Linked DNA regions of Macaca mulatta. The protein of the gene in region 1 interacts with the protein of each later gene in a pairwise test. Links are inferred from orthologs where the notes say so. Each region holds a gene or a part of one and is shown on either strand. Other genes may lie near its edges.

Region 1 (5,172 bases):
AGTTGTTCTTGGAAGTAGCATTGGTTTGCTATGAGCTACTTTGTCATAGCCAGAAGCAATAGTTCTTCAGTTTATTTTCTTTGTATTAAAACTGTTTTCTGGATAGAGTATAGTGCAAAATTCTGCTGCCCAATTCAGAATTAAAGAGTGTGGCTGGCAGGTTTGGTGGATAGGCTACGTGGATAAATGGAAGTACCAGGTTTCATTGATTTTTCATTTGCTTTAGTTAGATGTGTCATTTCTTCTATTTCGTACTTATTTTAGTGAAGGCAACATTTCAATTATGTATTTAAGTAAATATTTTATTATAGATAGTAAAAATTTCAATAATTTACTAATATTTAAATTTTTATTTGTAAGTGAGTACAATACTAGAATGCACAGTGAAACCTAAACTCAAAAAAGCTGTATTGTTATATAGTCAATATGAAAAATATATATGATGAAAGGCTTTTGCAAATGTCATAGTATGTCTATTATTTTACATTTATTTTCTCTTGAGTAATCAGCATCGTTTAAATATGTCTTTGGATGATTGTGGGAAAAATAAAAGTGTCTTAAAAACTACTCATCTACATTATAGTTTATGGATATGTTATAAACATAATAAGACATACAACTTCTACCATTAGAATTTATAAGTCAATTATTAACATAAAAAGAATCCCCAAATTTACCCTAACCAGAGCATCAGATGGCAAATCCAGAATTAGCAATAAAACTCCTAGATTCCCTTCTTCCCTATGCTTTTATTTGCTTATTATAATGAAGGGCCTTTGGGGCGAGGGTATTTTTACTAACATATATAATGGGAAATCCTGCTCGATAGTCAAGGGAAAAGGACCCATCTTTGACTTATTTTTTTTCATTTTTTGCTCTCTGTGGTAGCCCTAAGAATGTACTTCACAGACCTCCAACTACAGGCAACCTAAATGACCAAGGGTCCCAGCTGCTGTTCTCTGAAATCCACTGCTGCTTTTGTGCTGAGCACTTGTTTCCCAAAGGCTGCTCCCAGCCAGTGATTGAGAGGAACAGGGATACTAAAGCTGGCCCCTCCGTGTCCTTGGGAGTCACCTGGCTCTAGCACTTCCTGATGGGCTTACTGAACCTTCCTTAGAGGGTGTAGCAATCTGGGATGATTCTACTTAACCTTGCTTGCACCTCTCCACCACTCTGTGTCAAACTTGCATTGTTTTTTGTCAGCTTTTCTAGTCTTCCTTGGCTCCCTCCTCATTTTATATTACAGGAATTTTCCTTAATGAAATTCTTGCATGTTCAGTCTTGTCTTCACATTTATTTTCAGAGGTCCTAGACTAACACATTCTCTATTTCTATAAAAAGATACTATCATATGTAATTACTAAGGAAAAAAGATGTTTACTATAATTTTAATGGTAATATTCTGATACTACTAGATTCTCAAATTTAGGGAAGTCAAAACTTCATATAATTGAGAGCTATCCTCAGAAATGTATGCTTATATTAATTTATTGATAGTCTCTATGTAAACTTGCTTTCAGAAGGACTGAATTGCTACCACAGTAAAATCAGGAGCTCATGTTCTCAGAAAATGTTAATTTACTCAGGATGATTAGATGGCTATAAAGTAATAAGCAATCCATAAGTCATCTCTGAGATATGAGAAATTAAAAGGAAATATTTCTGAGGGTGTGTTGATAACTGATATTTTGTTGAAAAGCAGAAAAATTCAATACAATAGGTAGGAGTAAGTTTGTTTTTTGCAAATTGGTAATTCTTGCTTTCATTTTGTGTGACTTACAGGAGAGTGCTTGTTCTTTATATGTTAGTGTTAAAATTCTTCTGTCTTTCTTTGCAGAGTCATAGTGAAAGATTCGTTTTCATTGCAGAGTGGTATGATCCAAATGCTTCACTTCTTCGACGTTATGAGCTTTTATTTTACCCAGGGGATGGATCTGTTGAAATGGTAAATAAGTCTTTCTTTGCTTGAATGTCGGCAAAGGGGGTGAACATGGGAACCATTGCCTTTTATATAATTGCTTTTTAAAAACACATTTATATGTGTGTGTGTGTGTGTATATATATGGAAATTCTTTTTAAAGATATTCATTATAATTTCAATATAAGAAGTTAACTTGTGCCTTTACTTTTAATGTCAAAGATAGGAAATTTTTTTTGTTGTTGTTAGAAGACTGAAGTGGGGGTCGGGCACGGTGACTCATGCCTGTAATCCCAGCACTTTGGGAGGCTGAGGTGGGCGGATTACTTGAGGTCAGGAGTTCGAGACTAGCCTGACCAACATGGTGAAAACCTGTCTTTACTAAAAATACACAAAATTAGCCGGGTGTGGTGGTACATGCCTGTCATCCCACCTACTCGGGAGGCTGAGGCAGGAGAATGGCTTGAACTCAGGAGGTGGAGGTTGCAGTGAGCTGAGATCATGCCACCGCACTCCAGCCTGGGGGACAGAATGAGCCTCTATCTCAAAAAAAAAAAAAAAAAGAAAAGAAAAAAAAAAGACTGAAATGGGATTATTCATGTTTTGGATAAGAAATAACCAATAAGTGATTATAGATAAGGATTATTATGGTCATAAATATGTCCTCATTATTGAAAGCTGTTACTGCTACAAAAAGTCAAATTGAGAGGATCAAGCTAAGAGGCTTCTGTTTATTTCTTTGTGTTTCTTCATTGGCAACACAATTTTAACAAGTGGATCTTTTTGGTATTGGGATTTTGTGTACACAAAAAAGCAGAAATTTGGGTGTATGACTCTTTCTTTAGCATTTTGTAAGGACTACTGAAATGATTTGGTAATAAACAGATCTTTCTATTCAGGGTTTTAAGAGTATTAAATGTGTAATAAAAAGCTTTTATGTTATTACCAGATTGGATTCAGAAATATGGAAGTAATTAAAAATTATGATTTATATTTGTAACAAAAAAGAAACAGAATATAACTTATCTTTGATAAGACAGAATTAAGAATTATTTCTACCTTATGATAAGATTAACTTTCCTTATTCATAAATTTTGTTTGTTTGTTTGTTATATTCTTGTGTCTGGTTCTAGCATGATGTAAAGAATCATCGCACCTTTTTAAAGCGGACCAAATATGATAGCCTGCACTTGGAAGATTTATTTATAGGCAACAAAGTGAATGTCTTTTCTCGACAATTGGTATTAATTGACTATGGGGATCAATATACAGCTCGCCAGCTGGGCAGTAGGAAAGAAAAGTAAGAAAACAATTATATAATCTTTTTACATTTTGTAACTTTGGGTTCAAAGTCAATCTGAATCAAGACTGGGAGTATTTAACCATATGAGGATGGATAGGACCTGGAAAATGGTTGTCTTCATTCTGTCTTTTTCTTTTTTTCAATTAAAAAAAATTGATAATATCATAGTTGTACATGTCTCATCTGACTTAATTCATATTTATGTCTCCTATGCAACTTAGTACATCTCAGAGATACAGTCATCTGTAAAAGGGGCTAAGAAAAAAACGGAAGTGAGAAAGAACAACTTGTAGATACAGCTGAAAATTAGACTTATAGAAAACAAGGACTTCTGATGTTTTCCTTCTGAATATTGATTTTCAGTATTTTCAAGATGACTTTTTAACTTTTAAATTCTCTACATTTATGAATTTCAACTTTCTGAGATTAGAATTAATTATATTTGAAATGAAAATTTAAGTCCTTTGTCATCTCTTTTGGATCTAATTTCTGTAGCTTATATTTTGTATGGTTTGGGGACTTTTTTTTTTTTAACTGTAGAGTGATTGGTGCTATAATTAAAATAGGGATTATTTGTAGAAGTTAAGGCTATATGTATAAAAGGTTCCAAAAATGATTTAATTCAATAGGAAAAACAAATCAGTCACACTATTTTTTGAGATCTGCTACTCAAATGACTAGTTGATTGCCTAACATCTGAGTCACTCTCATAGTAATGAGATATCTCTTTCTGTGACTTCCATAGTCTTTCTGTATAAGCACTTTATGGTTCTTGAGGTGATTGGATTCTCAGTGTGGGTGTTAGTACACAAAGGGTGATGGATCAGAGGGGTGGTGAATGCCTCGTAACAAAGGAAGACCAAACACTTTCTTTGAAATAGGATAAAAATTACAGGTATTAGATAAATAAACAGGAATCTTTTAATGTTGTGGGATCTTATGTAAAAGTCTATGGAATTAAGGAAATGCCAACCATAATTCCTTGATTTAAAACTAATAAATATGTGTAGCATTCATTTATGGAGCACATACTATATGCCAGACACTCTAATATGCACTTTACATACACCTCAGTTCAAGACTGCTTTATTTTATTTAATTATTTTTTTAAGCGGGGTCTGACTCTGTCATCACCCAGGCTGAAGTGAAGTGGCATAATCATAGCCCACTGCACCCTTGACTTCCCATGCTCAAGTGATCCTCCCATCTCAGCCTCCCAGGTAGCTGGAACTACAACCATGCACCACTATGCCTGGCTAATTTTTTGGTATTTTGCAGGAGATGGGGTTTGGCCATCTTGCCCAGGCTGGAAGACTACTTTAAATTTTTATTTAAACTAGCAAAATAAGTGAGTTAGAGAGTCAGGGTTAACAGTCTGACCTAAGAAAAATAAAATATCAGCCATAAAAATCATAATTTTTATATTTTAACTATGATTTGACTGAAGTGAATGTTGTTAAATCTATTTAATAGAATGGGTAAGTAACTAGTCCACAGTAACACAGCTAGAAAGTAAAGGGAAACCAGAAAACCATGTTTTGTTTTTCTCTAAAATTCATTCTCTTTCTACTAAACCTCTAATTAATATGCTGGCAAATACTGTTGAATGGGACTGATTTTAAAACAGGATGAACAGAAGAATTCTATTTTAATGTAAAAACAAATTTGAAGTATTTGGGCTTTATATAGTTACTGAAAATATACGTAGTATATATTTTACTGACTCAAATTGATTCACCATTTTCTTTTCTTATTCTTTCTTAATTGCATATGGGTTAGTAAATCCAGCAACCATTTGGGTAATTTAAATAAACTTCCTCCAAACCGAAGAGTTTCAAAAATGTATTGTTTTATTTAAATGGCCAAAAGTAAGCATATGGAAATATATGGGTATGTGTATCAGCGTTCCACAGAAACACCTTCTGTGTAACAACTGATTTAGTCTAGTTCT
Region 2 (5,925 bases), about 210 Mb from region 1:
TTCTGTTGCCCATGCCAAAGACAGCTAGCTCCTTGAACAGCTTGGCCTGAATACAGATACTAGCATGTCTGCAACAGAGAAAAAAAACAGCATTCCCCATCCAGCAATGCAAGATCAAGAACAGAGAGCAAATTAAATAGCTAAGGACTCATGTCCTTCGTTGGTGTCCAGGGGCCACATTCTTTCCTTTCACCATCTCTGTAGGGACAGGAATACTTCCCTTCTGTCCTCAGAGGGTCAGGACTCAGAGAAACCACAGAGCAGCAGCTAAGGAAAATGGTTCATGGAAATGCTGGAGAGAGAGAGGGGTTAAAATGCCCTCCCTTGGGAGCAGGCTGCTCCCATTGGATCGTAGCCTCTCTGTTATGTGGGCAGAGCTACCAGGGTAAGGTCCTCCCTAGGGTTTGCAAAACCCTCATGGGATCATGAGCCATATAGAACTGACCTGTGGGTCTCCAGTGTGTAATTAACACAGGCATTTTGAGGAAATGCTTGGCCTCAGGCCCCACTCCCGGCTACCCCCATCCCACCATGCCTAGCACAGTCTAGCTGCCTGGGTACAATTCTCCCAGTATCTTGCAGGCCCCTATTTCCTATTCCTACTCTGCTCATCTGGCTCTCAGGAACCTTCTTGGCCTTCCCTTTCAGACCTCTACAGATGCCAGCCTTGTGGGAAAGAAGAGTGGGCACCTGAGGGAAGCCAGACCTGCTTCCCACGCACTGTGGTGTTTTTGGCTTGTCAAGAGCACACCTCTTGGGTGCTGCTGGCAGCTAACACACTGCTGCTGCTGTTGCTGCTTGGGACTGCTGGCCTGTTTGCCTGGCACCTAGACACCCCTGTGGTGAGGTCAGCAGGGGGCCGCCTGTGCTTTCTTATGCTGGGCTCCCTGGCAGCAGGTAGCGGCAGCCTCTATGGCTTCTTTGGGGAGCCCACGAGGCCTGCATGCTTGCTGCGCCAGGCCCTCTTTGCCCTTGGTTTCACCATCTTCCTGTCCTGCCTGACAGTTCGCTCCTTCCAACTAATCATCATCTTCAAGTTTTCCGCCAAGGCACCTACCTTCTACCGCGTCTGGGTCCAAAACCATGGTGCTGGCCTGTTTGTGATGATCAGCTCAGCGGCTCAGCTGCTTATCTGTCTAACTTGGCTGGTGGTGTGGACTCCACTGCCCACTAGGGAATACCAGCGCTTCCCCCATCTGGTGATGCTTGAGTGCACAGAGGCCAACTCCCTGGGCTTCATACTGGCCTTTCTCTACAATGGCCTTCTCTCCATCAGTGCCTTTGCCTGCAGCTACCTGGGCAAGGACTTGCCAGAGAACTACAACGAGGCCAAATGTGTCACCTTCAGCCTGCTCTTCAACTTCATGTCCTGGATCGCCTTCTTCACCACGGCTAGTGTCTACGACGGCAAGTATCTGCCCGCGGTCAACATGCTGGCTGGGCTGAGCAGCCTGAGCAGCGGCTTCGGCGGGTATTTTCTGCCCAAGTGCTACGTGATCCTCTGCCGCCCAGACCTCAACAGCACAGAGCACTTCCAGGCCTCCATTCAGGACTACACGAGGCACCGCGGCTCCACCTGACCAGTGGGGTCAGCAGGCATAGCTGGTAGCTTTCTCTGTCCTGAGGGTCGAAGGTCAAGCAGGCCAGGGCTGTTTGGGAGGCCTTTGGGCACCTCAGTCTGGGGTTGGGACGTGTAAGCGCCCGGGAGAGCCCAGACCAGGCTCCGGGCTGCCAATAAAGAAGTGAAATGCGTATCTGGTCTCCTGTCGGGGAAGAGGGTGAGGTGCCGCGGATTCAAGTCTGAACCCAGAACCTGGAAAAGGCTTGGTGCCCAGCTTGACGTTGCTAGGCAACCCCGGAGGCGGGCCCAGCGCCAAAAGAACAGGGCGTGGCCTCATCCCCTCATCCCATTGGCCGTTCTCTGCGGGGCCCCGCCCTCGGGTGCCGGAGCTAGAAGATCTACGCTTCCGAGGCGCCCCTCCTGGCCGGCACGCTCTGACGTCACGTCCGGCGCGGAGACGGCTGCGTCTCCGCACGGTCGGCGGGGCACGCATAGCCGGGCAGTTGGTTCGTGGGCTGTGGAGGCGACGGAGCCGGGGGCTGGTGGGGCCAGCTCAGGGAGGACCTGCCTGGGTGAGGAGGGCACGAGGTGAGGGAGGGAGGGGCTGCGGGCCGCCGTGGCTGCCTTCCGCTCGGCCGCTCGGGACCTGTGGGCGCGGCGTGGGCTCCGCTTACCTGTCCGCGGCCGCCGTCCTCCCCAGTCCAGGATCCTCTCACTGTGCCAGGCCAGTCAGTTCGCGCTCATCCCGTGCCTTCTTTCCCCAAACTTGGATTTTTCCCACCAGGCCCTTCTTCATGACCCTGACCCCCCCATCAGCATCCCCCCTGGCCAACCCAATATGGCCCCCGGTCCCCGGGAGGCTGTCAAGTATGTTCCTGCCTTCCGCGTGCACCCCTCACCTTGACCCAAGCCCTCGTGCTGATAAATGTGATTATTTGAGTGGAGGCCAACTTCCCCTTTCTCTCTCTTCGACTCCAGGGGCTTTCTCTTGCATACGCTCGCTTGGGCTGGCCAGGGTGTCACTTCTGCCTCCCTGCCCTCCAGACCATGGACGGCTCCTTCGTCCAGCACAGTGTGAGGGTTCTGCAGGAGCTCAACAAGCAGCGGGAGAAGGGCCAGTACTGCGACGCCACTCTGGACGTTGGGGGCCTGGTGTTTAAGGCGCACTGGAGTGTCCTTGCCTGCTGCAGCCACTTCTTCCAGAGCCTCTACGGGGATGGCTCAGGAGGTAGTGTCGTCCTCCCTGCTGGCTTCGCTGAGATCTTTGGCCTCTTGTTGGACTTTTTCTACACTGGTCACCTCGCTCTCACCTCAGGGAACCGGGATCAGGTGCTCCTGGCAGCCAGGGAGTTGCGAGTGCCAGAGGCCGTAGAGCTGTGCCAGAGCTTCAAGCCCAAAACTTCAGTGGGACAGGCAGCAGGTGGCCAGAGTGGGCTGGGGCCCCCTGCCTCCCAGAATGTGAACAGCCTCCTCAAGGAGCCGGCAGGCTTGCAAGAAGAGGAAGTTTCGAGGACTCTGGGTCTAGTCCCCAGAGATCAGGAGCCCAGAGGCAGTCATAGTCCTCAGAGGCCCCAGCTCCATTCCCCAGCTCAGAGAGAGAGTCCCTCCTCCCTCTGTGGGAAACTCAAGCAGGCCTTGAAGCCTTGTTCCCCCGAGGACAAGGAACCTGAGGACTGCAAAATGCCTCCAAGGCCCTTCGAGGCTGAAGGTGGCCAGCTGCAGGGCGGGAGTAATGAGGTACTGTGCCCAGGGTGCTGGGACTGGGGAGACAAATGGAGGGAATAGACACTTTTTTTGGTATAATAGGGACCCTGGGCTGGGTGTGATGGCTCATTCACGTGAGTGGTTCAAGTGGAGGACGACAGGGATGGACGAAGTCTATTTGTAATCCTAGCACTTTGGGAGGCCAGGGTGGGTGTGGATCACTTGAGCTTGGGAGTTCGAGACCAGCCTGGGCAACATGGCGAGGCCTCATCTGTACAAAGAAAATACAAAAATTAGCCGAGTGTGGTGGCACACACCTGTAATCCTAGCTACTTGGGAGGGTGAGGTGGGAGGATCACTTGAGCCCAGGAAGTGGAGGTTGCAATGAGCTGAGATGGTGCCACTACGCTGTAGCCTAGGCGACAGAGCAAGACCCTGTCTCAAAAAAAAAAAAAGTGGACCTTAAGACAATCTCTGTTAATGTGGGTTTGGAACGGGCTTTCTCCAAACAAAGGAAGCTGGTGATCTCAGGCTGACCTTTCTGCAAGCCCCAGCTATTCATGGTTGCCACCTTCCTGAGAGGAGTGGGCAGCATCAGGGTTACAGGTGTTTCCCCAGGATAGTGTTTCCATCCGAGCTTCCAGTTCCCCACAAATACAGTCACTTTCCTCTGAATCCAAGACTCAGATGCTCTGCCTTGGGCCCCTGAAGGAACAGTGTCTGATGAAGGGACTTGTCAGGGTTGGGGCTTGGGATGGAACTGGAGCTGGGTCCCTACAACTCCTGCTGATTCATTTGGTGACCCCACCCCCTCCTGCTGCCTATTGTGCTCTAGTGGGAAGTGGTGGTTCAAGTGGAGGACGACGGGGATGGTGATTACATGTCTGAGCCTGAGGCTGTGCTGACCAGGAGGAAGTCAAATGTAATCCGAAAGGCCTGTGCAGCTGAGCCAGCCCTGAGTGCGGGCTCCCTAGCAGCTGAGCCTGCTGAGAACAGAAAAGGTACAGCGGTGCCGGTCGAATGCCCCACATGTCATAAAAAGTTCCTCAGCAAATATTATCTAAAAGTCCACAACAGGTAAACTTTCTGTTTTTCTATTTTCCTGTCTGCCATTCCCGCGTTGGGGGAGGGGTCTTGCACGTCCCACTTCTGGGTGAGGTAGGGGCTGGGGGATCCATCTCAGACCCACATAGTGCCTGGCCTTGGCACACCTCTGGCAATCAGGAAGTGAGAGTCTGCTTTGGGTTAGATTCTTCTTCCTCACTGTCCTGTGAGTACTGTGGTTGGAGATGGGTTTGTGGACATCTTGTCAACAGGTTCCACCCACTGTGGACCTTGACCTTCAGCTGGCCTCTGCGGACAGAATGAGAAACCTGTGGCCCGTGTGCTAGAGCTGAGGCCCAACCTTAGGTGTTTCTGAAGCCCGGCAGTGTGGGCTTGAAGCCTGGCAGTGTGGGCTTTGGGCCACAATGCTGAGCCTTGGGTCAGTGCTACCTGTGTTTCCAGGGAAGTGTTCACTCTGGGGTGTCAGTGGAGTATTAAAGTCCAGTTGTCTAAACCTTCAGTGTCCAGTAAAGTAACCAGGAACTCCAGGGGCTATTAAAATTTTTATTTTTACATTTAGTGGAGACAAGGTTTTGCTATGTTGCCCAGGCTGGTCTCAGACTCCTGGGCTCAAGCGATCCACCCACCCTGGCCTCCCAAAGTGCTAGAATTATAGGTTTGAGCCACCATGCCCAGCCCCCAGGGGCTATTTTATGTTTTTGAGTTGGAGTCTTGCTCTGTCACCAGGTTAGAGTGCAGTGGCACGATCTCAGCTCACTGCAACGTCTGCCTTCTGGGTTCAAGCGATTCCTCTGCCTCAGCCTCCAAAGTAGCTGGGATTACAGGCATGCGCCACCACACCCGGCTAATTTTTTGTATTTTAGTGGAGACGAGGTTTCACCATGTTGGCCAAGATGGTCTTGATCTCCTGACCTTTCGATCTGCCCGCCTCGGCCTCCCAAAGTGTTGGGATTACAGGTGTGAGCCACCATGCTCGGCGTATGTTTTTTTTTATTTTATTTTATTTTACTTTATTTTTTTTTTGAGACGGAGTCTCACTCTGTTGCCCAGGCTGGAGTGCAGTGGCATGATATCAGCTCACTGCAACCTCCACCTCCCAGGTTCAAGCGATTCTTCTGCCTCAGCCTCCCGAGTAGCTAGGATTACAGGTGCCCGCCACCACGCCCAGCTAATTTTTGTATTTTTAGTAGAGATGAGGTTTCACCATCTTGACCAGGCTGGTATTAAACTCCTGACCTCGTGATCCACCTGCCTTGGCCTCCCAAAGTGCTGGGACTCACGGAGTCTCTCCTCTCCACTCACCCAGGCTGGAGTGCAGTGGCTCCATCTCTGCTCACTACAACCTCTGCCTCCCAGGTTCAAGCAATTTTCCTTTCTCAGCTTCCTGAGAAGCTGGGATTACAGGCGTGTGCCACCACACCTGGCTAATTTTGTTTGTATTTTTAGCAGAGACGGGGTTTCAGCATGGTGGTCAGGCTGGTCTTGAACTCCTGACCTCGTGATCCGCCTGCCTCAGCCTCCCAAAGTGCTGGGATTACAGGTGTGAGCCACTGCACCCGGCCATTTTTTTACTTTTTAGTAGAGACGGGTTTCAC
Region 3 (5,885 bases), on another chromosome or scaffold:
GGAAGCTGGGTGGACCTGCTCAGGCGGCCCCCTAGGGCCAGAAGACCTGTTAGTCACTTTCAAATACATGTTCTTTCCAGAGGTTCTAAAAACACTGTTGTCCCTCTCACCCAGAAAGCTAAGCTTCTGTTCAGTCCTTAACGGTAGCTATAAATGAGAAGCACAGCTTGGTTTCCTTCTAATATCCGGCAAGTTAGAAGACAGAAAGTATTCATTTACGTATTCATCACATATTTGCAGGGCAACCCTACACGGGACAGCAGAGGTCCCACGCGGGCGCTGCACCCGGAGCCAGGCTCAGTTGAAACTCACCGGAGGCGCGGCCGCCCTGGGCTGGGAAGAGGCCGTGGGCCCAGGTGGCATCAGAACCCACAGGAGGGAGGCAGCTGGCCCAGGAGGGGTCGGGGCAGGCCTTTGGGGATCGTGAGAGTCGACCCCATCCTCCCTGAAACAAGGTCGAAGATTGAGACGGTCCCTGCCCAGTCCCGCAGCTGACAACACGGGGAGAAGCCGCACCTGCCAGGGTAGGGACCGCGGGGTGGGCTCGGGCCTCCGTGGGGCCGGCACAGGGACCCTCTCCTCTCAGGACCTCGGCCCTCATCCCCGGGCACCGGGACTCACAGGCGGATGGGCCCAGGTGGAGACCAGGGTGTGAAGGGGAAGGAAGCGGGGCGGGTGGAACGGGGCCGGATGCGGGGGTCACGGGGGACGGCGGAGCCCGGACTTTGTGATGCAGGAGACGGAGGGGACTGGTGATGGAGGACTGGAGGCCGCGAGGATGGGGAATGGGGACGTTCTTTTCACCTCCCACGGCTCACCCGGATGCGCCTCCGCAACTGCCCGCCCCAATCCCAGGGCGGAGGCCTCGCGCAAAACCCAGGCGCCTCGGCTCCGCGCTCCGGCTGAGGGTCTGCGCCGCCGCCCGCCCGCTCCTTCTCGCTCAGCCGCGGCCCCTGGGGAAGATACTGTGGCGCCCGGTTCCAACTGAGGCCTGTGGCGGGTAAGGCCGGGAGACTGAGGCGGGTACAGAGGCGGGTACAGAGCCGGAAGCGAGGGAGGGGATGCAGTCGTCGCCCAGGTGGCTGCGTCCGGAGGAGGCCCCGCGACTCTACCCTGTCCTATCCCCCGCCAGCTGCTGAACCAGGCGGCCAGGGACTGCATGGAGCACGGGGCTTGCCCGGGAGGGACCGTCCCTGGGGTACTGGCCTGCTGGGGCGGGGTCCCTATGGTGTCAGCAGCCGCTTGTCCGCCGCAACACCCGCAAGGCCCGCACCCAGGCTCTGGCCCCAAAGGTGGGCACCAGGCCCAGGCACTGCTGGCCTGCGCTGCAGACCCTGATCTGAGCCAGCACTTGGTCCCCGCTAACAGGTACTCCAAACACAACACCCCTCCCCTCATGCTGCCCCCCGACATCCTAGCAATGCGTGCAGAGCCCAGGAGCATGGCGGTCCTCCCCCAGGCCTACCTCCCCGCACCCAGGGCCTGGACGCCCCCCGAGGCCTGGACACTCCCACCGCGGGGCTCCATCCCCGCTTCTACGCCCCCAATCCAGGTACACAACCTTCAGCTGCAGAACCCTCCTGCCTCACCTGCCACTTCCCAGCGCCTCCCCCAGGCCTAAGTCCTTGATGCTAGAGGTTAAACCGCACCCCCCTAGGCCTGCGTGGGCCTCCAAGATGCTGAGGGCACCCTGATCCCACAAAAGCCGAGGGTTCCTCTGCTCTCCAGCCCTGAGGCCTCCGCCCCTGGGCACCCGATCTCCATGGAAACCGAGGGCCCTTTCCCACTCTTCCTGCAGGCTTGGCCCCATGAAGATGAACTAGGCACCCGCGACGTGCTTGGCTCTGCTACCGGCGGCCGCTTTCCTCTGAGTCAGCGGTGCAGCCAAGGGCAGCCGCGGAGGGCTCCGCGGGGGCTTGATAGGGGCCTCGAGGGTGCGTGTAAGGCCGGCCCGGCGCTATGGTGCCGCGGGCTCCTCGCTGCGAGTGGCTGCGGCCGGAACGGCCGTGAGGGCGGCAGCGGGCCTGGCAGCAAGTTCAGGCTGAAGAAGGGCCGCGGGACCCGGGGAAGGCGACCTTGGAGGACGATGAGGACTGGGTTCCTGGAGGCAAAAGGACCGGCCTCGGCAACTACACCTACCGGGCGTGGACTTTGGGCGCTGGACCCACGCGCGGCCCCCACTTCTGTCTCGTACTGGGCGGCGCCCTCAGCACCCTGGGGCTGCTACGGCCCTAGGCCTGGCTGGGCTCAGGGGCGACATCTGGCCCCCAGCCCGCGCCGATCCCCAGGCTCCTCTGACCTGGGCTCCCCCTTCCTCCCTTGCCCACAGTCTTGGAGCCCCAGTTTGTGCAGGAACTGCAGGCTGTCCCTGTGGACCTGCCATCCACCGTCCTGCCCACGCCCCCTCAGCCTCCTACCTCCCACCTAGAGGGGATCACGAGCCCTGCCCCACCCCTTCCAGGATGTTAGGGTACCCTCAGTCAAAAAGGCAGCGGCCTGTGGCTCCTGTACCAACGGCCCAGCCACGCTCCAGAGCTGCCCAAAGGGAGGTGCCAAGACCAGGAACACAAGCCACCCCGGCTCCCCCACCTGCCCTGGGGCTGTGGTGACCCATGGGCAGGGAGGCGACCTCAGGCTGGTTCTGCCCCGAGATCCTGAGGAATCTGACCCTCCCCAAAAGAAGCAATGAAATGGACCAAAGGACTTAAGGATTTGCAGGGAAGTGAGGGGAAAACGGTAGTTGCTAACCACCTGCCCAGAAGAGTACACCTCACGGCCCAGAAACACTCTCAAGCAAGAAAACCGTCTCTCCAGGAACCCTAACCAAAACCCTAAGTGCAACCCCTACCACTAACCCCTGACCCTAATGCTGACCCTTAATCCTAACCCCTCACCCTAACACCTAATGTCAAACACGAACCCTTAATCCTAACACTAACCCCTAAACCTAAACCCTAACCCTAACCGATACTCCAATCCCAAGGAAAAGCACTAAACCCCTAATCCGAAACCTTAAGCCTAAACCCTAAACCTAACCCACAAACCTGAGCCCTGACCCCAACACTAATGTTAACCTCTAAGCCCCAACCCTAACCCAACCCCAACACAAACCCCTAACCCCTAATTCTAACCCTACCGGGCGTGGACTTTGGGCACTGGACCCACGCGCAGCCCCCGCTTCTGTCTCGTACTGGGCAGCGCCCTCAGCACCCTGGGGCTGCTACGGTCCTAGGCCTGGCTGGGCTCAGGGGCGACATCTGGCCCCCAGCCCGCCCCGCCTAACCTGACCCCTAACCCTTAAATCCAACCCTAACCCATGACCCAACACCTGAACCCTAACCCTAACCTCAACCCATAACCTCAACCCCTACCCCAACCCTAAACTCTAGCTGCAGCCCGAGCCCGAATCCTAATGCTACCATAAACCTAACCCCCGAACCCAAACTTGAACCCAACCCCTACCCCTAAAACCCTAAGCTAAACTGAAACCACAAACCCTAACCCCTAACCCTACTGCTACCCCTAACCCCTAACCCCTGAAGCTAAACCTAACCATAACAACGCTAAACTTAAGCACTAACCTAGCCCTACCCCTACACTAAGCCTTAACCCAACTGTAACTCCTAACACTAACCCTAACCTCTAAACCTAACCCCTTACCCTAAACCGTAACCCCTAACCCTAACCCCAAAACCAACACCTAACCCTAACACCTACTCTAAAACACTAACCTCTAACCCTAACAATCCTTAGCCTAACACCCAAACCCTAACCCTGACCCTAATCTTCTATCCTCGAAACCCTAACCCCAAACCCTAACCCTAACATCCTAACCCCAACCCTAAAACCCTGATCCTAACCATTAAACCCTGACCCTAACGATTAAACCCTGACCCTAAATGCTACCCCTACCCCAACCCTGGACCAACCCTAACCCTACCCCTAATCCTTCCCCATCCCTAACGCTAACCCCAAACCCTAACCCCACCCCAACCCTAAAACGAACTTCTAACCCCTAAACCCTAACCCAAACCCTAACTCTACCCCAACTCTAACCTTTATCCCTAACTCTAACCTGTAGCCCTAACCCAAAACCCTAAGGTAACCTTTTATAGGTTGGGATTCGAGGCTTTGTATTTAGGACGGGCGGGTGTTCTGGTGTCTCCCACTCACCCGCACGGGAAGTTCTTCTGTTGGTTCTTCACAACCAGTCACGGTGCATCGCGGCCTCCCCTGGCCGGTGAAGGGCTGGTTCTCCCGAAAGCCTCGGCTCCTCCTCCCTCCTCCCAGTGCCCTCCAGGCCTCCCCGGTGGCCCCAGCGTGGCAGGGCCCGTGCAGAAGGGACCGTGGGCTTGTGGCCGGCATGGGCCGCTGTGGGCATGGAGCTCACGGGAACGCGGCCTAGGGGCAGGCTGCGCTCCTCTGCGCCAGCGGGAACAGCGGGCCCCGCGGGGGCTGCCACAGACGCGTCACTTGCTGGGGTCCGTGCACTCCCGCGGTGGCGTGGCCAAGCAGAGCCGCGACCCCGTGAGGTTGCCGGGGCCATGGTGCCTCGTGGAGTCCTCCGTGAGACACGCACATTTCACAGGCAGTTGCTGCCTGGCACACGCGCACTGGTCGCTCGTGGTGAGGGCCTCCAGAACCAGGGCCGGCCCCCCTCGGAGGCCAGCACACATGCGCGTGAGCACCCAGAACCGGGCCAATCGCGAGCCTGGACGGCCGGACGTGGCCCTCGCGGGCTTTGTAACCCTCGGGCCTTTACGCATGCGCACTAGCTGCCAGGCAGGCCGGCCGAACATTACTTCACATATCCAGAGCGCGCGCGGGGGTGCATTGCGCAGGCGCGCTGCCTGGAGTCCCGCCCCCTGCAGGGGTTGCTCCAATCACCACTGGAGGCTCCCTCCCAAGCCACCCGCGCTGCTGAGCTGAGAGGAAATGGCGGGGAGGTCCCTGGCGTCGAAGGCCGAGCCCACCGCCGGAGCCACGGACGGGGCTGAGAAGGCCGAAGGTAGTGGAGGGAGGCAGGGAACTGTGCGTGAGGGTCTGACCTCGCCGAGGCGGGGCAGGGTTGGGGCGCGGGTGGCGACTACTTCCTGTCAGTCCTGATGGTGCTGACTGAGACTTAGCGGGTTTCTTCAGAAAACTTTCCGCCAAGATGAGGGAGTGCTGGCCCGCACACCCCTCACTTCGTCTTAAAGCATTGAACCTTTATCGTGGTTGCTCCAATTTTGGTTTAGGTAATTAGTCAAAAGACATCCTGTCGTTCCACAGACTTTCCATACACACCTCTTAAAACAAAAAGGACATTTTCCTGACGCTCCCAATCCCAAGGGAATTCCTAATTCCACACTCCTCTTTCTAGAACCAGCAAGTGTCCAGATTTCCCGGTCGCACTAACCTGGTTCTTGACAGTGGGTTCCCCCACCCAGCATCCCGACGCCCCGGGGAGCCGGGGGAGGCCGACTCCCCGCAGATCTCCCGTTTGTTTCTCCCCGACCCCGACCTGCCGTAGAGGCTCCTACCTCACCCTGGGAAGGGAGGGACAAGGCAGCTGGTCAGAGTTGTACAGAAGTCCCGAAATTGCAGCCCAACAAAGAGAAAGAACACTGTCCTGGCCGTTTCCACTTCAGGACGCTGTGTACCTCTGGGTGTTTTGGGAGAATTTTCAAACTTACACAAAAGTGGAGAGAATTGTACGGTGACGTCCCTCCTGCTGTCACTCAACTTGTCACTCTGTCCTGAGCTCATGTGTCCCCCCTGAGTTAAAACGCTGCAATTAACAAACGCCACGGTGGCTGCCTCCAGCCCTACCTGCGTGAATATCATGGCAGGTGCTCTGTCGTGTTCTTACAAAATGAAGGTTTGAATACTGAAACAAGCTTGGC
Region 4 (5,966 bases), about 86 Mb from region 1:
TGCCTAGGCTGGAGTGCAGTCTGTGATTATGGCTTACTACAACGTCAACCTCTTGGGCTCAAGCAATGCTTCTACCTCAGCGGTCTAAATAGCTGGGACAACAGGTGTGTGCCTGGCTAATTTTTATTTTTTGTAGAGACGGAGTCTCACTATGTTACCTAGGCTGGTCTCAAACTCCTGGGCTCAAGTGATTCTCTGCCTTGGCCTCCCAAAGTGCTGGGATTACAAGTGTGAGCCACCACACCCAGCTACTTGTGCACGTTTTCAGAAAATGTTTCTATCATAAACTGGGAAGTACATCTTCTTTTTTAAAAAACATGAAATCAGCCGGGCGCGGTGGCTCACGCCTGTAAGCCCAGCACTTTGGGAGGCGGAGGCGGGTGGATCACGAGGTCAGGAGATCGAGACCACGGTGAAACCCTGTCTCTACTAAAAATACAAAAAAATTAGCCGGGCGAGGTGGCGGGTGCCTGTAGTCCCAGCTACTCAGGAGGCTGAGGCAGGAGAATGGCATGAACCCGGGAGGCGGAGCTTGCAGTGAGCCGAGATGGCACCACCGCACTCCAGCCTGGGCGACAGAGTGAGACTCCGTCTCAAAAAAAAAACAACATGTAATCAGGCCAGGTGTGGTGGCTCACCCCTATAATCCCAGCACTTTGGGAGGCCGAGGCGGGCAGATTACTTGAGGTCAGGGGTTCGAGACCAGCCTGGCCAACATGGCAAAACCCCAACGTGGTGAAACCCTGACTCTACTGAAAATACAAAAATTAGCCAGGTGTGGTGGCAGGCGCCTGTAATCCCAACTACTCGGGAGGCTGAGGCAGGAGAATTGCTTGGACCCGGGAGGTGGAGGCTGCAGCAAGCTGAGATCGTGCCACAGCACTCCAACCTGGGCAACAAGAGCGAAACTCTGTCTCAATAAATAAATATATATATATATAAAAGCAATACTGTCATGAACATTCTTGTGTATGTACCTTCTAGTGCTTTTCCAAGTATGTATATTTAAGATAAATTCCTATTTTTGCCAGTTCAATGGGTATGTAAATTTAAATTTTGATAGATTTTATCAAACTGCCTTTGTAAACATGGCTGTATCAACCTAGACTCCTATTGAAATCATGTGGTGTTCTTTTTTTTTTTTTTGAGACGGAGTCTCACTCTGTCGCCCAGGCTGGAGTGCAGTGGCCAGATCTCAGCTCACTGCAAGCTCCGCCTCCCAGGTTTACGCCATTCTCCTGCCTCAGCCTCCCAAGTAGCTGGGACTACAGGTGCCCACCACTGCGCCTGGCTAGTTTTTTGTATTTTTTAGTAGAGAAGGGGTTTCACCGTGTTAGCCAAGATGGTCTCAATCTCCTGACCTCGTGATCCGCCCGTCTCGGCCTCCCAAAGTGCTGGGATTACAGGCTTGAGCCACCGCGCCCGGCCATGTGTTCTTGTTTCTTCACATCCTTGCTAGCTCTGGATATAACCTGTGAAACCTTAAAAAAAGGCTTCTCCTATCCCATTTCAGACCACTTTAATCAGAATCTCCTAGGGTTAAGAACTAAGCATCGGTGTTTATTTATTTAAATTAAATTTTTTGGTAGAGATGGGGGTCTTGCTATGTTGCCCAGGCTGGTCTCGAACTCCTGAGCTCAAGCAATCCACCTGCCTTGGCCTCCCAAAGTGCTGGGATTACAGGCATGAATGAGCTAATGTGCCCAGCCCATTTTTTGTTTTGAGACAGGGTCTTCCTCTCTCACCCAGGCTGGAATGCAGTGGTGGCATCACTTGACCTGGGCTCAAGTGATCCTCCTGCTTCAGTCTGCTGAGTAGCTGAGACTATAGGCATGCACCACCACACCTGGCTGATTTTAATTTTTTTGGCAGAGACAGGCTTTTCCTATGTTGCCCAGGCTGGTCTCGAGCTCCCGGGCTCAAGCAATCCCCCTGCCTCAGCCTCACAAAGTGCTGGGATTATAGGTTATAGGTGTGAGCCACCATGCCAGGCTTGCATCAGTTTTTATTTTTATTTTTTATTTTTGTAGAGACGGAGTCTTGTTCTGTCGCCCAGGCTGCAATGCTAGAGTGCAGTGGTGCGATCTTGGCTCACTGAGTTCAAGCAATTCTCCTGCCTCAGCCTCCCAAGTAGCTGGGAGTACAGGCACACACCGCCATGCCCGGCTAATTTCTTTTGTATTTTAGCAGAGACAGGGTTTCCCCATGTTGCCCAGGCTGGTCATGAACTCCTGATCTCAGGCAATCCTCTTGCCTCGGCCTCCCAAAGTGCTAGGATTACAGGCGTGAGCCACCGTGCCCGGCCGCATCAGTGTTTTTTCAAAAGCTCATCAGGGTGAAAAGGCTATGTAGCCCAGTCTTGTGAATCTTCTCATTCACTGATTCAACAAATACTGCACTACCAACCACATAATTAGTACAAAGCCAGGCAACAAATACTTGAATTCTTAATAAAAAAAAGAAAATAAAAACATGCTTCAATTTTCCTCCAGAGAATGAGAGGCAGGGGACAATAAAAACCAATCTATATCACCTAACCTACTGGGCACTAACAGGCTGATCTCATTTGCTTTGAGGACAAGGCTGCTTCTCACCCCTTCTGCATCTCTTTTCCTTCTTAATGAGCCCCTAAAGAGATGCAGCAGAATTGGGAGATGGCCCAGGGAAGACAGCAGAGTGGAAAGGTCAAGCTGAAAGGTAAAGGGAGGGGATAGAAGCAGATTACCTGTCAACCATCTTCTTAAGTCCCATGGCCCTTTGAAAACTCTGCAAGAAAACGTAGTTCTGTTGATCTGCCTCAGTCTCCAGAACCTCACCCCTAGAACCCTGTTCTAATGAGAGACATAGACTTTTTTTTTTTTTTTTTTTTTTTTTTGAGACAGAGTTTTGCTCTTGTTGCCCAGGCCAGAGTGCAGTGGCGTGATCTCGGCTCACCACAATCTCCGCCTCCCGGGTTCAAGTGATTCTCCTGCCTCAGCCTCTGAGTAGCTGAGATTACAGGCATGCACTGCCACGCCTGGCTAACTTTGTATTTTTAGTAGAGACAGGGTTTCTCCATGTTGGTCGGACTGGTCTCGAACTCCTGACCTCAGGTGATTTGCCTGCCTCAGCCTCCCAAAGTGCTGGGATTACAGACATGAGTCATAGCACCCAGCCACATAGACATTTTTGAGAAAGCAATTTCCTAGGGGGAAATAGGGAGAGGAAAGCTCTACTTTCAGAATGGATCAAAGAAAACATACAGGGGTTGGATGGAACACATATTTGAATACCTACTATGTTCTAGACATAGCCTCCCCTCCTGTTACTAACTACATTGTACCCTTGTTACATCAAAAGCCTTTCCCAGTAAAAGATGCACTTATAGTAAATTGATCTGGGGGCCGGGCGCGGTGGCTCACGCCTGTAATCCCAGCACTTTGGGAGGCCGAGGCGGGCGGATCACAAGGTCAGGAGATCGAGACCACGGTGAAACCCCGTCTCTACTAAAAATACAAAAAATTAGCCGGGCGCGGTTGTGGGCGCCTGTAGTCCCAGCTACTCGGGAGGCTGAGGCAGGAGAATGGCGTGAACCTGGGAGGTGGAGCTTGCAGTGAGCCGAGATCGCGCCACTGCACTCCAGCCTGGGCGACAGAGCGACACTCCGTCTCAAAAAAAAAAAAAAAAAAAAAAAAAAAAAAAAAATTGATCTGGAAACCTCATCAAACTTCAGCCCAGCCCCTCCTTCCAACTCTGCGTACCTCTTCTACTTTTGTCATCTTTTCCACAGACATATCTACAGATTTGCTTGATACAGCCTGAGGAGACTGACAGGCTCCTCTTTCTGTTTAGTTCAGTAACCAAGGTTTCAGTAGTCATAGTAACATTTACGCCTCCAACAATAACCCTGGGCCTAGGAGTTGATTGGCCACCTGGCCTGTTGCCCCAGAAACCTTGAAAGAATCCTTGTTCTGCATCCTTCTGTTGATGACACAGGCAATTCTATGAGCAAGGGTCACAGTCCTGATTTTAGGATTTCTTGTGCTAGGGTCCCAAGGAGTATCTGTATGGTCCTAGGTCCAGGGTATGCACACAGTCCCACCAATTCTCTGGAGGCAAATCCTCACGCCTTATACCCTGTTAGAAATGTGCAGATAACATTATCAAATGCCTGTTTTATTAAAAGACAACTATAAAGGACTGATTCATGTTTTATTTGATAATAGTTCATTTTATTAAATAATTTATAAAGTCAGACCAGTGCATTGGCTTGTTAGGGGAAATCATTCCTTCCTACTGTCACATAGCCTGGCAGATTATGTCAGGTGCCAAAACATTCTCTTTTATTCAATTTATTCATGAGAGTGTGGAATTAAAGTAGATCCTTGCATGTCAGGAAAGCTGCAACACATCTGGTTTAAGTGGAGCACAAGGGTAAGTTATTCCACATTCACCAACTTCCCCACTTGACCTCCCACCAGTTCCTGTCTTTTTCCATCAATCAACTCTAAGACGCCCTAAACCCAAACAGTTCCCATTCAACTGTGTACAAAGGTATAGATATGGAAGACATCTCTCTCCAACTCTCACCTTTGGAATTAAATAAACCTGGAACAGGGAAGGTGAACTGGCTGAAACCAAGTGAAGATTTTTAAGAAGCTTTGACAGAAACATTAAGAATAACACCTGAATGCAAATCCAGAAAAAAGTGCTACTGGGGGAAAATAGTCTTAGCCAATGTTCTAAAAATGCCCATAAGAAAAGGTTGGGGAATTACCCTTTAGACACAAGCTCTAAGAACTCTGGATACAACGGGAACTTCGATGGATACAGTCTGGGCCTGCTGAGTCAGATGTCCCCAGGGCAGCCCGGCAAGCAGCCTGTCTTGCACACTGCAACTGACTGGCTTCATCTACGGCAAGAGTCCTTCAGCTCCATCACAGAGTACTCTCCAATGTGTTATAGTTATCCTTAAAGCTCTTCAATTCAAGGAAGTGCTTGGCACGTTTACTCTTCTGACTTGAGGGGAGGTATGTCACCTGGATGGTTGTTGGGGAGACCTCAGGGGACTGAGTTAGGTCTTTGGCTGCTGACTGGTGGTGTCGCTGAGAGCTCCCAATTCGTGCTTTAACCCTGAAAAACACAGAGGAGAGGTCACTCACAGAATGAGGACTAATCAAATAAATCAGGGCTTATCCCAGTCTATAAATGCAGCAATAGCCACAAATAGTTAATTGTGTCCTATCTGTCCTATTTAGTAAACTAGTTACTAAAACCCCATCTAGTAGCTTAGAAGTAGCAGAGAGGCTGAGCACGGTGGCTCATGCCTGTAATCCCAGCACTTTGGGAGGCCCAGACAGGTGGATTGCTTGAGGTCAGGAGTTCGAGACCAGCCTAGCCAACATGGTGAAATCCCATCTCTACTAAAAATACAAAAACTAGCTGGGCGTGGTGGTGGGTGCCTGTAATCCCAGCTACTTGGGAGGCTGAGGCAAGAGAATCACTTGAACCCAGGACACGGAGGTTGCAAGCCGAGATTGTGCCACTGCACTCCAGCCTGGGTGACAGAGCGACTCCATCTCAAAAAAAAAAAAAAAAAGAAGTAGCAGAGAGGCTGGGCATGGTCACTTATACCTGTAATCCCAGGACTTTGGGAGGCAGAGGCCAGAGACCGCTTGAGCCCAGGAGTGTTTGAGACCAGTCTGGGAACCAAAGTGAGACTCCATCTCTACAAAAAATTAGCCAGGTATGGTTGCAAGCACCTGTAGTCCTGGTTCCTCAGGAGGCTGAGGCAGGAGGATCGCTTGAGCCCAGAATTCGAGGATGCAGTAAGCCATGACTGTGCCACTGCACTCCAGCCTGGGCGACAGAGACCCTGTCTCTCTCTCTCACACACACCCTAAAAAAGTAGCAGCACTCCAGCCTGGGTGACAGAATAAAGGCCCTGTTTGGGTGCCCTGACACACACCTACTCACACCAAAAACAA

Evidence for each region. The genes of interacting proteins can lie anywhere in the genome.
Region 2: the proteins of NME7 (region 1) and ZBTB48 interact in binary tests that used the Homo sapiens proteins (3 or more experiments, as listed by UniProt). The two-hybrid records come from large-scale screens. The link is inferred for Macaca mulatta from reciprocal best matches to the Homo sapiens genes NME7 and ZBTB48.
Region 3: the proteins of NME7 (region 1) and SYCE1 interact in binary tests that used the Homo sapiens proteins (3 or more experiments, as listed by UniProt). The two-hybrid records come from large-scale screens. The link is inferred for Macaca mulatta from reciprocal best matches to the Homo sapiens genes NME7 and SYCE1.
Region 4: the proteins of NME7 (region 1) and CFAP141 interact in binary tests that used the Homo sapiens proteins (3 or more experiments, as listed by UniProt). The two-hybrid records come from large-scale screens. The link is inferred for Macaca mulatta from reciprocal best matches to the Homo sapiens genes NME7 and CFAP141.

What each region holds. Positions count from the first base shown.
Region 1 is NC_133406.1:26,834,392-26,839,563, reverse strand, and holds part of NME7 (nucleoside diphosphate kinase homolog 7), read left to right. Parts: intron 1-1,837; coding exon 1,838-1,945; intron 1,946-3,051; coding exon 3,052-3,218; intron 3,219-5,172. UniProt on the Homo sapiens protein: Possesses an intrinsic kinase activity. Displays 3'-5' exonuclease activity with a preference for single-stranded DNA. Does not seem to have nucleoside diphosphate kinase activity.
Region 2 is NC_133406.1:234,202,497-234,208,421, reverse strand, and holds the start of ZBTB48 (zinc finger and BTB domain-containing protein 48), read left to right. Parts: upstream 1-2,017; 5' UTR 2,018-2,149; intron 2,150-2,539; 5' UTR 2,540-2,608; coding exon 2,609-3,298; intron 3,299-4,100; coding exon 4,101-4,342; intron 4,343-5,925. Other genes in the region: TAS1R1 (taste receptor type 1 member 1), read left to right, coding at 649-1,580. UniProt on the Homo sapiens protein: Plays a critical role in transcriptional regulation and chromatin remodeling. Acts as a regulator of telomere length. Directly binds the telomeric double-stranded 5'-TTAGGG-3' repeat.
Region 3 is NC_133414.1:145,691,553-145,697,437, reverse strand, and holds the start of SYCE1 (synaptonemal complex central element protein 1), read left to right. Parts: upstream 1-1,977; 5' UTR 1,978-4,935; coding exon 4,936-5,008; intron 5,009-5,885. UniProt on the Homo sapiens protein: Major component of the transverse central element of synaptonemal complexes (SCS), formed between homologous chromosomes during meiotic prophase. Requires SYCP1 in order to be incorporated into the central element.
Region 4 is NC_133406.1:112,822,348-112,828,313, reverse strand, and holds the start of CFAP141 (cilia- and flagella-associated protein 141), read right to left. Parts: upstream 3,909-5,966; 5' UTR 3,774-3,908; coding exon 3,741-3,773; intron 2,767-3,740; coding exon 2,726-2,766; intron 200-2,725; exon of another isoform or gene 121-199; intron 1-120. Other genes in the region: C1H1orf43 (protein C1orf43 homolog), read right to left, coding at 4,917-5,112. UniProt on the Homo sapiens protein: Microtubule inner protein (MIP) part of the dynein-decorated doublet microtubules (DMTs) in cilia axoneme, which is required for motile cilia beating.